3 linked regions of the Alligator mississippiensis genome follow. The protein of the gene in region 2 purifies or fractionates together with the protein of the main gene of each other region. This does not show direct contact. Links are inferred from orthologs where the notes say so. Each region holds a gene or a part of one and is shown on either strand. Other genes may lie near its edges.

Evidence for each region. The genes of interacting proteins can lie anywhere in the genome.
Region 1: the proteins of PARP1 (region 2) and TOP2B purify together in Homo sapiens (affinity purification with western blotting; 3 studies listed by BioGRID and IntAct, with this or other methods). This does not show direct contact. The link is inferred for Alligator mississippiensis from reciprocal best matches to the Homo sapiens genes PARP1 and TOP2B.
Region 3: the proteins of PARP1 (region 2) and CTCF purify together in Homo sapiens (affinity purification with mass spectrometry; 6 studies listed by BioGRID and IntAct, with this or other methods). This does not show direct contact. The link is inferred for Alligator mississippiensis from reciprocal best matches to the Homo sapiens genes PARP1 and CTCF.

Annotation. Positions count from the first base shown.
Region 1 is NC_081828.1:146,786,109-146,789,853, reverse strand, and holds the start of TOP2B (DNA topoisomerase 2-beta), read right to left. Parts: upstream 2,277-3,745; 5' UTR 2,009-2,276; coding exon 1,958-2,008; intron 1-1,957. UniProt on the Homo sapiens protein: Key decatenating enzyme that alters DNA topology by binding to two double-stranded DNA molecules, generating a double-stranded break in one of the strands, passing the intact strand through the broken strand, and religating the broken strand.
Region 2 is NC_081824.1:179,591,634-179,595,378, reverse strand, and holds the start of PARP1 (poly [ADP-ribose] polymerase 1), read right to left. Parts: upstream 2,655-3,745; 5' UTR 2,601-2,654; coding exon 2,481-2,600; intron 1-2,480. UniProt on the Homo sapiens protein: Poly-ADP-ribosyltransferase that mediates poly-ADP-ribosylation of proteins and plays a key role in DNA repair.
Region 3 is NC_081833.1:35,453,008-35,456,752, reverse strand, and holds the start of CTCF (transcriptional repressor CTCF), read right to left. Parts: upstream 2,605-3,745; 5' UTR 2,470-2,604; intron 1-2,469.

The sequences.
Region 1 (3,745 bases), on a different chromosome or scaffold from region 2:
TGCCATGTGTAATTTTAGCTTTTCTTCCTTCCTAAATAGAGACCCCAATTGTAGAAAAAAGCATACATGCAGGGCTGAACCAAGCTGAAAAGTTATCTAGACAATCAGCCCAAGTGGCAAGGTCTGGTTAGTTCCTCATATATCACCGCTAAACGCATGGAGCTACACCAAGAAAGCCCTAAAGAAGCCCTAGCATTATGCTCCCATTTCTCCATCCACTACAGGTGCCTCTGGTAGCTTGTCCACTGACAGCTGTATTTTCAATGTTTGAAGCATCAAAGAGGGAAAACCGAAGTCCTGAGTCCAGTTAAACCTTTACAATAGCTCCCTAGATCTGTATGCTGAGCTGAGAAACTAAACCTGTAAGGGGAGGCAGTATAATAAGCGGTGTCTGAAACTGGTAACATCATCCTTTTTAGAACTGAAAAGAATTAACAGAAAGACTGTTCAGTTACAATGTTGTAAATTTCACTACCTACCATGCATGGTAGATTTATAATTGAGATGTATGTGTCCATTCCTCATTTTCAGGTTTAATTTTAGGAAGGGAGAAAAAAAAAATCGACACACACCTCTTTCCCTGAAGCAAAGTCAATGACTACGAATTGGACTGATCCCACTTAAAAAAAAAAAACACCCACAGAAGATATGGCCAAGCAGAAGACCAAAAAAGGGTTAAATACACAAAAATACAATACTTAAAAAAACCCCCAAAAATAAACCCAACAACTGAAAACTATTTCTGACTTCCTTATAGGAGTCAAGCCTGTAGGGTTGGCCCTATATAAAAGTGTGATTTTTATGGTTATTTTAGAAGAAAAACAAGTAGACAATCAAAATAATATAGTCCCTTCTCTTGTTTCTGTGCCAAGGCATTTTCTTGCCGTACACACACACACACATCGCATCACTACTGCTTACTCGAGTCTAAATCTTTCTCCAACATGTCAACATTGAAGATTAGATTGGACAATTAAAAAAAAAAACAAAAAAACCCCCATGTAATTAGATAATGACATTATTTTAAATGAAATAGCCACTAGCATTTACAGTTTTCAACATGAAAAGTTTGCTGTTAACATGAGAAACTTCATGCAAGTGTTCCTCACGTAAAGCGGAGCAGAAGTTAGAAAGCAACTCTTATCATCCAGCACCCAGACAGGATCTCCAGTGCCCCCCATTTTCTCCCCTTCTCTGATGAAAACAGGGCTGGAAGGTGTGAAGTGGTAGATGGGCAAAGGATGAAGGGAAAGGTGAGCAATTATAACAACAAGCATCTTACTAGAAGGACAAGGGTCTGAACTCAATACACAGTAAAGCAGAGGCAGTGCCCAAGTACCCCTTTCATAAAGTTGTTTGTTTCCTTTTTGTTTCTTAAACCACTGTGGGGCTAGGCAGCTTCTTCTTGTTGGCTACATTAAGGAAGTGACCCGACTCTGAACTCCAGGCCGAGCAACAGCCCTGCTGGTGAATTATTGATCAGCCGTGGGAACCGGGTCCCCACAGGTCTCCTCCCCCTTGGGGGCTTTCCAGACCCAGAAGCCGAGCTATTGTTGAACAGGCCTGGACAGCACCCCTCCTCCGCCCCCTCCTGCTGCTGCTGCGGCTGCCAAAGGCCTTTCAGCTCCTCGAAAGCAGCCGCTGGGCCCCGGCCGGCCCATCCCGAGTCCTTGCAGCCGGTGCCCCGTAACTTTCCGCCGCCCCCGAGCCCGCGAGGCGACAGCCGCCAGGCGCCCTCCCGGGGGTGAAGCTGGGCTCTCCTCCTCCCCCAGCCGCAAGGAACAATACCGCCCCCACCACCACCACCACCCGCAAGGCCCCGCTCCTCGTCCCGCGCGCAGCCATTTGCCGCTCTCCCCGGCCCCGCAGCCGCCACCCCTCCCCCAATGCGGGCGCCGCGGCCTCCACCGTGGACGGGGGTAAACGGGGGAAGAACGAGAGGCGGCCCCACACTCACCACCCACGTCAGTCCCCCGCTGCCTCCGCCTCCGCCGCCGGACTTGGCCATTTTCCGCCCGTCGCCTCAGCCCCGAGCGTGGCTGCAAAGGCCGAAGCCAGACGCCGCCGCCGCGGCCCCTCCCCCCGCGCTCGCCCTCACAGCGGCGCGCGCGCAATGGCCGCCGCGCGCCCGCCTTCCCTCCCTCCCTAGCACACGCACGGCCCGGCCCGGCCCGCGGCTCCTAGCGCATGCTGCGGGCGCGGCGCGGGCAGCGTGAGGGGCCGGACAGCCCGGGCCGGGCGCGGGGCCGCACAAAGCAGCAGCAGCGCCGCCGCCGCCACCTCCCTTCGCGCGAGGCCTCCCGGGCCCGCCCCGCCCCGCCCCCGCCAGGCGCCGGCTCGCCAACCCCCTGCGCCCGAGCGGCCCCGCGCCGCGCTCAGACAATAAGTGCGCGGCTCCCGTCCGGCATCGCCGGCGGCCCCCCCTCCCGCCGGCCGCCCAATGGCGACCGAGAGCAGAGCGTTACCAGCCAATCGGGCTGGGTGGAAAGTGAAAGGGCCGAGGGAGGCCCGGTGACGTTACTGTGGGTGGCAACAGGGAAGAAGACGCGGCCCGAGCGGGGACGCTGCGGGTAGGTGGGAGGGTCTGTGGTGCTGAAGGGGCAGCAGCTGTGTCTGTAGCGGTCGTGGCGGGGAGAGGGGGGCAGAGACGGAGCAGGGGAGATGTGACCGGTCTTAAGGAGCCCACAGAGCGTGGCCGCTGCTTGGGGCCGAGGAGAGGTCACCTGCGCAGCGCCGAGCAGGCTGGATGCCCCCCAGGCACTGGTGGGGTTTTCCACTGGCTGCCTTGGGGGTGTAGTTGGGAGGGCTTCTTCAAGCAGGAGCCCCTGCGGGGAGATTGCCTGGCCTGGTGGAGCCCAGAAGACCTCAGCAATGCTCCCGTTGTTGATGCTGTCCACCCTGGGGCCCTCAGGTTCCTAATATTTGCATGGATAGAGAGTCATTCCGTATCCTCCTGAGGTGGGGAGAGGACAGGCTGTACAGGCAGGCCTCAACTTAAGATGTTTCGAGTTGCAACGAACGGCACTTAAAATGTTTATAAATTGAACCCCGTTTCAACTTTCTGACGTCAATTTCGACTTTACGACACTTGATCCAACAGGATGCCACTCGAGCGAACAAGTTCACTTTGTCGCCCATCTCCCTGGAGAACATCTGTCCAAACTTCCTTGGACACTTTCTTTAAGAAAGCAGACAAGACTCCAGAAAAACCTGCATCCAAGACTCCTGAGAAGACTCCAGCCAAGAACCCTTCAAAAAATCCAACCAAGAGCCCTTCAAAAAGTTCAGCAAAGTCACCTCAAAATAAGTCCTTCCAAATCAATGCGATTGCTATTTATAATATACATACATTAATGTAGCTATATTACTCATCTATAATTGATTGAGTACAAGAATCTGGGCCATTTCTGGTGAAAATAGGGCATCGGGCCTTGGTTCAGGAACCAATCCCCTATTTATAACATTGTATCTATGGGAAAATTGGTTCTGAGTTAGGTTTCAACTTAAGACCCGGTTTTCAGGAACCAATTGTGTTGTAAGTCCGAGGACTCCCTGTATTAGATTAACAGTGAGCATGTCTACACGTGCATTAATGCATTTTAGTTAATGTGCATTTAATACAGTGCCTCCAGGCATTTATACACGTACCTTTGTCTGCTCCAACAAGATGGAAATCCAGCAGGTCCGAGCAGACTCGATTAATCAAGTCTGTGGAGCATGTGAGCTGACATGCCTGACGGCACTG
Region 2 (3,745 bases):
CAATCAGCGGTGAGGTGCGGCACTGCCAGGGCCCCTCTGCCAATCAGCAGTGAGAGGCAGGGCCACCATGAAATGCCCATGAAATCAGCTCTGCACTCTGTGAGTGGGAACCAAAATACTCTGCGTCTTGCTGTGACTTGGGTCAGTTCTTAATTATAAAGTGTGCAGATTAGCAAGGTTTTGCTAAAAGTGCAAACAGCAAACTGCATAGATGCTTCCTTATCTATAGCCTGGGCACAAAATGATACAATATTTTTACCTTGCGGAACAGGCAACATTCCCAAGCACATTATAACCTTATCTCTTCCCCCTCCACTCCTTGTTTTCAGAAACAGAAAAACAGCCTCTCTGTTAGTGTTCTATTAGAGTCCTCTAAATCACAATAATCCTCTAATAAGAAACTTAACTGTACACTTTACACTGGATTAATTTCAGAAGGCTGTCATGCCCTTGTCTACAGATAGCACTTGAGTCCAAGGAAAAGGCATGGAAGGACAAGAAGATTGGAAAAAAGTGTTCCTGACAAGCAAAGATGAACCTAACTTCCCTACAGCGTAATATTCTAATTTAATCATGGTAGTTATTATAGCAGCTTTGTCACATGTATTCCTCTCAGCTGTATGGTCTGGGGAAAAACAAACACACACAATTTCCAGGACTAAAACATATACCTTGGCTGCTTTAGCCTCTTCTGCTTACAATTTTGCACTGGTAATAACAACAGCGGGTGCAGTATGGCAGACAAGGTATCAGCTGCCACTAATGTTTTAAAGGACCAAAAGGTTTCCTTGAGGAGATCAGAAGTCCAGTCCCTATACCAGTGCCATCACTCCCTTCCCTCGCACTGGTGATAAGAAAGGTGGGAAATGTTGAAGGGAGAGGGGGAAATCAGACCAGAAGCTTTAGGTCAACATTTATTTTTCCAATGTGTTTCTTATTCTTTCACCCTAGTGAGCAGCCATATTACACTGCACTGTGGGCAGACTATATTTAGAGACAGATGTATTTACTAATTGCAGGCAGGTCCTGTGGCAAAAGCGTGCTCAGAGATCTCTCTCTTTGATTAAGCTAGGTAAACTTTTCATCAGCCACAAGGCAATGAACAAGGGGTGAAAATGAACTGCTAGGATGGCGATTCATTCTTCAATTAAGAGAGATCAAAGGAAGGAAGAGAACATTCAAATTGCTGCTAAAAATAAATTCCCCCACAAAAGGTCACAAGAAAGAATTAAGTCAGTGACAAATATGCTCCAAAAAGTGTATTAAATCACTGGGGAAAACTAAGGAATACAAGTAAGAAGCCTGTACAGCTCTTCAGCAATAGGGATTCAGCTCACACTTCAACTAAAAACAGTTTCAGTCTCTAGCTTCCCCCCATCTGTTTCCACCCAAAAGTCCCCAAGATGCAAACCGAGGTAAACAGAACATAAGAAACCCCAGAAACATTTACATCTTCTGGTCAGGGAGTTAGCACACCAGGCTGCAGCCCCTTCACCACCTCAAGATCCTCTTGCTGATGCCCTGGCTGCATTTCTCCCCGCTCCCCTTCCATGGCCCCACCAAGATGGCCATACACCTGACCAGGAGGGAGGCTCCGGCTGGGAAAGCACCCAGTGAATGTGGGGCCATCCTCCTGTCCCTCCTCCTCTGCAGTCCTGTCTCCAGGCAGAGTTTCACTGGGCAGAGCCCACTGGCTCCTTGGACTCATTTGAGGGCCAGTGAGTGCCATCCAACATGCTCTGCTCAGTGCCCTCCTTGGAGCATTTCGTGCAATCTCTAACCCTGGTGCCTGCCCCTGCTTCAGCTCCCCAAGAAATCAGCTGGTGCACACTTAACAACCCCTAACTGCATGGGGGAAGGGACTAACCCTTCCTGCTTGGGCCCACGCCTTCAATGGACTCAGGCATCAAAGAGGCCTGTCACAGGGTCACAGCTCTGGGCAGAGTTGCACCAGGCAGTGCCCACTGGCTGCCTGGACTCATTTAGGGCAGCACACTCTGCTCAGTGCCCCCTTTGGAGCACCTGCTATCGAGCTCCCATCCCACTTTTCAGGGCTGGGGCACGCACTTAGTGACCCCCTCTCCTGCCAGGGGCAGTGTCCCTGCATGCTCTGCCAGTGTGCCCATGCTCCCCCACCCGAGCCACGGGATTTCCTCCGAAGACTGCGACCAGCAGGGGGCGCTGCTGCGTCTCCGTCAATGGGAGTCCCAGCTGCTGGCCCCCCGGCGGTGACGTCAGAGCCGAGCCGAGCGCGGGAAGCCCAGCGAGGCGGGGGCGGGGCACTGCGGATTCCTGCCCCCCCCCCAGCTGCGCTTGCGGATGGCGCGGGGGGTGGGGAGTATTACCCACGTTGCAGCGTCGCTCCCCCCGCGTTTCCCCTGCAGCGGAGGAAGGCGCTGCCGCCCTCCACCCACGTGCCCCCCCCCCGGCGAGGATGGAAGGGGCCCGGCACAAAGCGCTGCAGCAACGCGGCGCTGTACCTGCACCATGATAGCCAGGCGCAGCGAGTCCTTGGCGATGCTCTCCCCGCATTTCTTGCACGAGGCCCGCCCGCTCTTGGCGTACTCGGCCCGATACAGCTTGTCCGCCGGCTCCGCCATCGCGCCTGGCCCGGCCCCGGCAGCGCCCACCGCTGAGCGCCGAGCCTGCGCCGCGCTCGGCGATCGATTGAGGCTGCCTTTTTTCCTTTTTTTGGAATGTTCCGGCGGGCCGCAGCGTTCGATTGGAGGGGGCGGGGGGGGAGGAGCCGCGCGCTGAGCGGGGGGCGTGGCGTGCGCCGCCTATACCGCCCCCATAGGGTCCTGGAGGAGGGCGGGGCAGTCTGCAGCCTGAGGGATGGGGCCCGTTACTTTGTGATAGTAGTCCGGATTGGTGCAGGGAGAGGAGCTGGGGCTGGACAGGAGGGAAAGCTTTCCGAGCAGGAGGGTGCTGAAGGCCGGAGAGCCTGAGGAGTGGTTTAAGACCCTTGGAAGGGTTTAAGACCCGGGTAGACAAACCCTTGCCTGGGATGATCTAGTTGAGGCTGGGCCTGGTCTGAGCTGGGTCTTGGACTCCATGCCTTCCCGAGCTCCCTTCCAAGCCTTATTTTCTACCACTCTGTGATGGTCCAGGACATATGTAAGAGGCAGGGTGACAGCTGTTCTGTGGTAGGGTGGCCATCATAGAGGACAGTTTGGTTGTCCTCTTTTGATATGAAACCAGATGCCTTTATGTCCTTTATTTTTCTCTTGAAAAATGGCTGGGGTAGAGAAGCTCTTCAGGCTTCTCTTGAATAGAAAAATAGAGGCATCCCGTTTTGTATCAATAGAGGACAGAGTAGCAGAAAACCGGAACGTCCTCTATGATGGCCACCCTATTTGTGGGTGATGGCTTTCTCTGTGGCTGAAAACGGAGGAGGTTTGCACCCTTGGGCTGCGGCCATATGAGCGGGAATGTGCATTTCCCCCAGGACAAGTAGCAGTGGTGTACCTTGTGTTGCTGCTGCTTGTCCCTGGGGAAAGCCTGTGCCACATGTGCTCTGGTGTGCAGCAGGTGACCCCAGATTGGGGAAAGGGGGCTGGGGCCAGCAACTGTGCTGGCCTCAGCAGCCTTACCTGCGGGCCTGGGGAGCTGCAGCCGCAGTGCTCCTGCAGCTGGGAACCCATCTGGCAGCTGGAGTGTGGCTCTGGCCGAGCAGTTTCTGGTTTTGGGTAGCCTCCACTACTGTCACATGTGCCACCCCACTTTTTTTTGGCATGGGTTTTTT
Region 3 (3,745 bases), on a different chromosome or scaffold from region 2:
CAGGGATACTTCATTCTAGATAATGCCTCCAGCTTGGTGTCAAGATATAAGCAAATATATGTCTTATTACAGCCCATGGAACAACTTTGGAAATAACACGAAGCCCAGCTTTCTCCAGTTTGCTGGAGGGCCTCTTGACAGTACAGGTGCTTAAGAGTTCATGATTTATTTATTTTTTAAATTGAAGTGGCAGGAATACTTAATCGTAGGCATTATTTCTCCCAAATATTCAATAGTGTTAAATTAACTTTAATAAAATAGTTCTGAAGTCTGGCTAGACAGCCTTGTCAATTGACAATGGTTACAAGACCTGAATTTCTTGTAAAGCAAGAAAGAAGGCAGGGCAGAGCAGCATCTTTCAGACTAGCTCATTCAGAAAGGCATATGCTTCTTTAGGGAACAGATCTAATGAAGGAGGCCATTAACTATGGAAGCTTATGTTTTCTGAATGAGTTAGTCTGAGGTATTGCCTAGCTGTGCCTTCTGCATGACTTCAGACTAACACAGCTACCTCCATCTAGTAAAGCAAGGAGAAACAAGGCTGCACTTACTTTGTACACCAGCATAAAGAGAGGCTAGGGGGAAAGAAGTCTCTCTCTGCATATATCATTTTTTTAAAAAGATTCTCTGTTGCTCTGCTTTGAGTGTTTATTTCTAGTCTCTTCTAGCATTTTCCCTTTGTACTAACGTACAAGGTAAGGTGCTCCAAATGAGAAGGAGATCTTGAAAACAATTTCACCACGCAGATGTTTGTAACCATTGCTCCACTGACTTCAACTGAACTCTGCGTAGGTATAGTGAAAAATCAGGACCTCACAAGTCACTGGAAAAGCAATACATACTTAGTGAGCTATTGAAAACCAAGTGTATCAATGATCAGGAAGGGGGGGGGGGGGGCGCTGAACAGTCTCTACAGCTTATTTACAGAGGCTGGTAACCACAGCATGTGAAGTAAAACATTGTTTGTTTTTTTAAATGCACTATAGGTACAAAGAGTTAAAAACAGACATAAGAACCTATCCTTGCCAGTGAGAAACATGATGCCCAATAATCAGCAGTATTCATTATGTTAAGCATGAAGAAAGATGAACCACAGGGTAAAATCTTAAAAAGGTGACCAAGGCTAGTCAAAGTACTGAACACACACAAGTGTACAAGCAAAGTGAAAAATTAGGAGTGTTACAGGAAACTACCAGGAAAGCCTCCTGTGACTATGACTGGCTCATTTATGAGCACTTTAGAAGATGTTTGGGTTTCACATGGAGCATCTCCTACAGTAAGTGAAAGCCAAACAACAAGTGGCATGAAAATAAAGAGAAAAACCAAGGAATCTGCACCAAATCCTATGCTTAGCTGGTATTCAATTTGGCTCTCACAAAATAAAAATAAGAGTCAGAGACCCGATGGGAGAGTGCATGTCAGAACGCCTACAGAAGCAGCCAAATGAAAGCAACCATATAACTTGATCTTTAAATGACTGAAGTGCCAGGTAAACTGTGGAAGACCCTTATTTGCAGGGGGGGGGGGGGGGGGAAATCTGGCCCGTGAGGACACCACCTGCTCCTGCAGGAGCAGACAGCATCGAGTGAAGTCACAAGCGAGAGGCAAAGCCCTGGTCTTGGCCGCACGCACAGGGCTACGCTCCCTGCCGAGGTGACAGCGCATGGACAGCGGAGCCGGGGCGAGGGGGGCCGGCGGGGCCCGCGGCGGGGTGGGGGTGCCGGGCGTGGCGCGGGGCTCGGCCGGGCGGGATCGGGCGCCCCCACGTCCCCGCGCCCGTGCTGCATGGCGCTGCTCAGCCTGCCTTGCAGAGGGAGCTCGAGTCCCGCGCTGCGCCTCGCAGCGCCTCTCACTCCGCAGCGCACACAGCGCAGCGAGGCGGCGGCGGCCGGCAGGAGCGGGACACGCAGCCGCCGACCCGCGGGCAGACGGCGCGGCCGGAGGCGGCCGGCGGCGCAGCCGCCGCCTGGCCGAGCCGCGCGGGCGGACGAGGCGGCGCCGAGGCAGGTTCGGAGGAGCGCGGCGGGCGCGGGGCAGGGGCCGGGGCCGCGCCGCGAGCCGGCGTGTCGTGCGGGGCCCAGCCGGGGAGGGAGGCCTGGGCCCAGTGCGCCGGGCGGGGGCGGAGGCCGGGGCCGGGCCGGGCCGGGCCCGCGGGAGCGGAGCGGAGCCGCGCGGCGGCCGAGGGCGATCGGCCGCGGCGGGAACAAAGGAAGGAAGATGGAGGCCGCAGAGCCCTTGGCCGGCCCGCGCGGCCCTGGCCGGCCCGCGGAGGCGGCGGGGCCCAGCGCCGCGCTGTGGGGAATGGCGGCGGTAGCAGGCAGGCAGGCGCCGGCCGCGCGGGGACGATAGAGGGAGACAAAGCCCCCTGCTTCCCCGGCGGCGGCCGCTGCGGGGCCCCAGCCAGCCCGGAGCCCCATCGTGACACCTAGAGGCCGGAGAAAGCGACTGCAAACCCCCCGCGCCGCTTACCTGCGCCCGGCCCTGCCAGGCCCGCTCCCGCCGCCGGGCCCCGTCGCCGCCGCGCGCCGCCCCGGGCCCCGCGGAGCCGCCGCGCCCTGCACGCCCCGCCGCGGCCGCCGCTAGCGCCCAGCCCCAGCTCGCGGTTTAATCGCTCCACAGTCGCTTCGGACACAAAATGGCGGCCGGCGGCGGCAGTGCGCGTGCGCGAGCGCGGCTGCCGCGGCCGCCGGAGCCGATCGAGCCGGGGGGAGCTGGGTGGGGGCGCGCGGGGCATTCTGGGAAGCGGCCCCGCGCGCCAACTTCAAACGGGACCTGGCCCCGGCGTTACCCGGCCCGACGTAGCGCGTGCGCGCCACGTCACGGCCAAGCGGGGCGGCCTCGGCCCAGGGCGCTGGGGCCGCGCCGGGTCTCGCGCTCTGCCGAGCGGCCGGGGGTGGGGGAGACGCGGCGTCGCAGGAGCGGGGTCGGCGGAGACAGGAAATCACCGGCGCCGCCTTCCGGTGCTGCGCCCATTTATCGCGGGGGCTCCCGGCCTGTGGGCGCGCCAAGCAGCCGTCTTCTCAGGTCCTGCCGGCACGTGCTCCGGCGAGGGACGCGCGGCTCCTGCCAGCCTGTGCCCGGGGCGGGGCGGGGGGCGCGCGCGCAGCCGCCCTGCGCAGAGGCGCTGGGGCCCCGGCCTGGCCGATCCCGGCCCTTCCGTAGGGAGATGGCGCGGTGGGGCCGGGTGCTGCTCCCTTCGCAGCAGTTACAGCAGGTGCCTCGAGTCCAGTAGGCCAGTGTTTCGCAACTTTTTATGTAACAAGTACCCACTAACTTCTGAAAATTTTAAGTACCCCAACACTCAATTTTCCAGGCAATTTTATATTTACTGACTAATGTGTGCTATATGTTGGAAGAAAGGCTGTGTATATAAGGCTGTGATACGACAGATGTCTGATCTGGTGTGGCTGGGGTTGCCACCTTTTACACCAGGGGTGCGCAACTCAAGTATATACATGGGCTAGAGGTGACGTTGCCCAAAGCTACGAGGGCTGGACCCAGTGCCGCATGCCCAGTTATTACTGGGGAATTTAAAGTACCATGCAGTGTGTGGCGCACCAAATTTTTTGCCATAGTTTTGAGAGGAAAAGAAGGTGAGAGAGACAAAGTGTTAGGGTACTTGCATACCCTCTGCCTGTGTCTCGTACCCCCTGGGGTACACATACCACAGGTTGAGAAACTATGCACTAGGCCAGTGCTCATCAACCTTTTTTGTACCAGGACTCATTTGTAAACGTGGATGGCC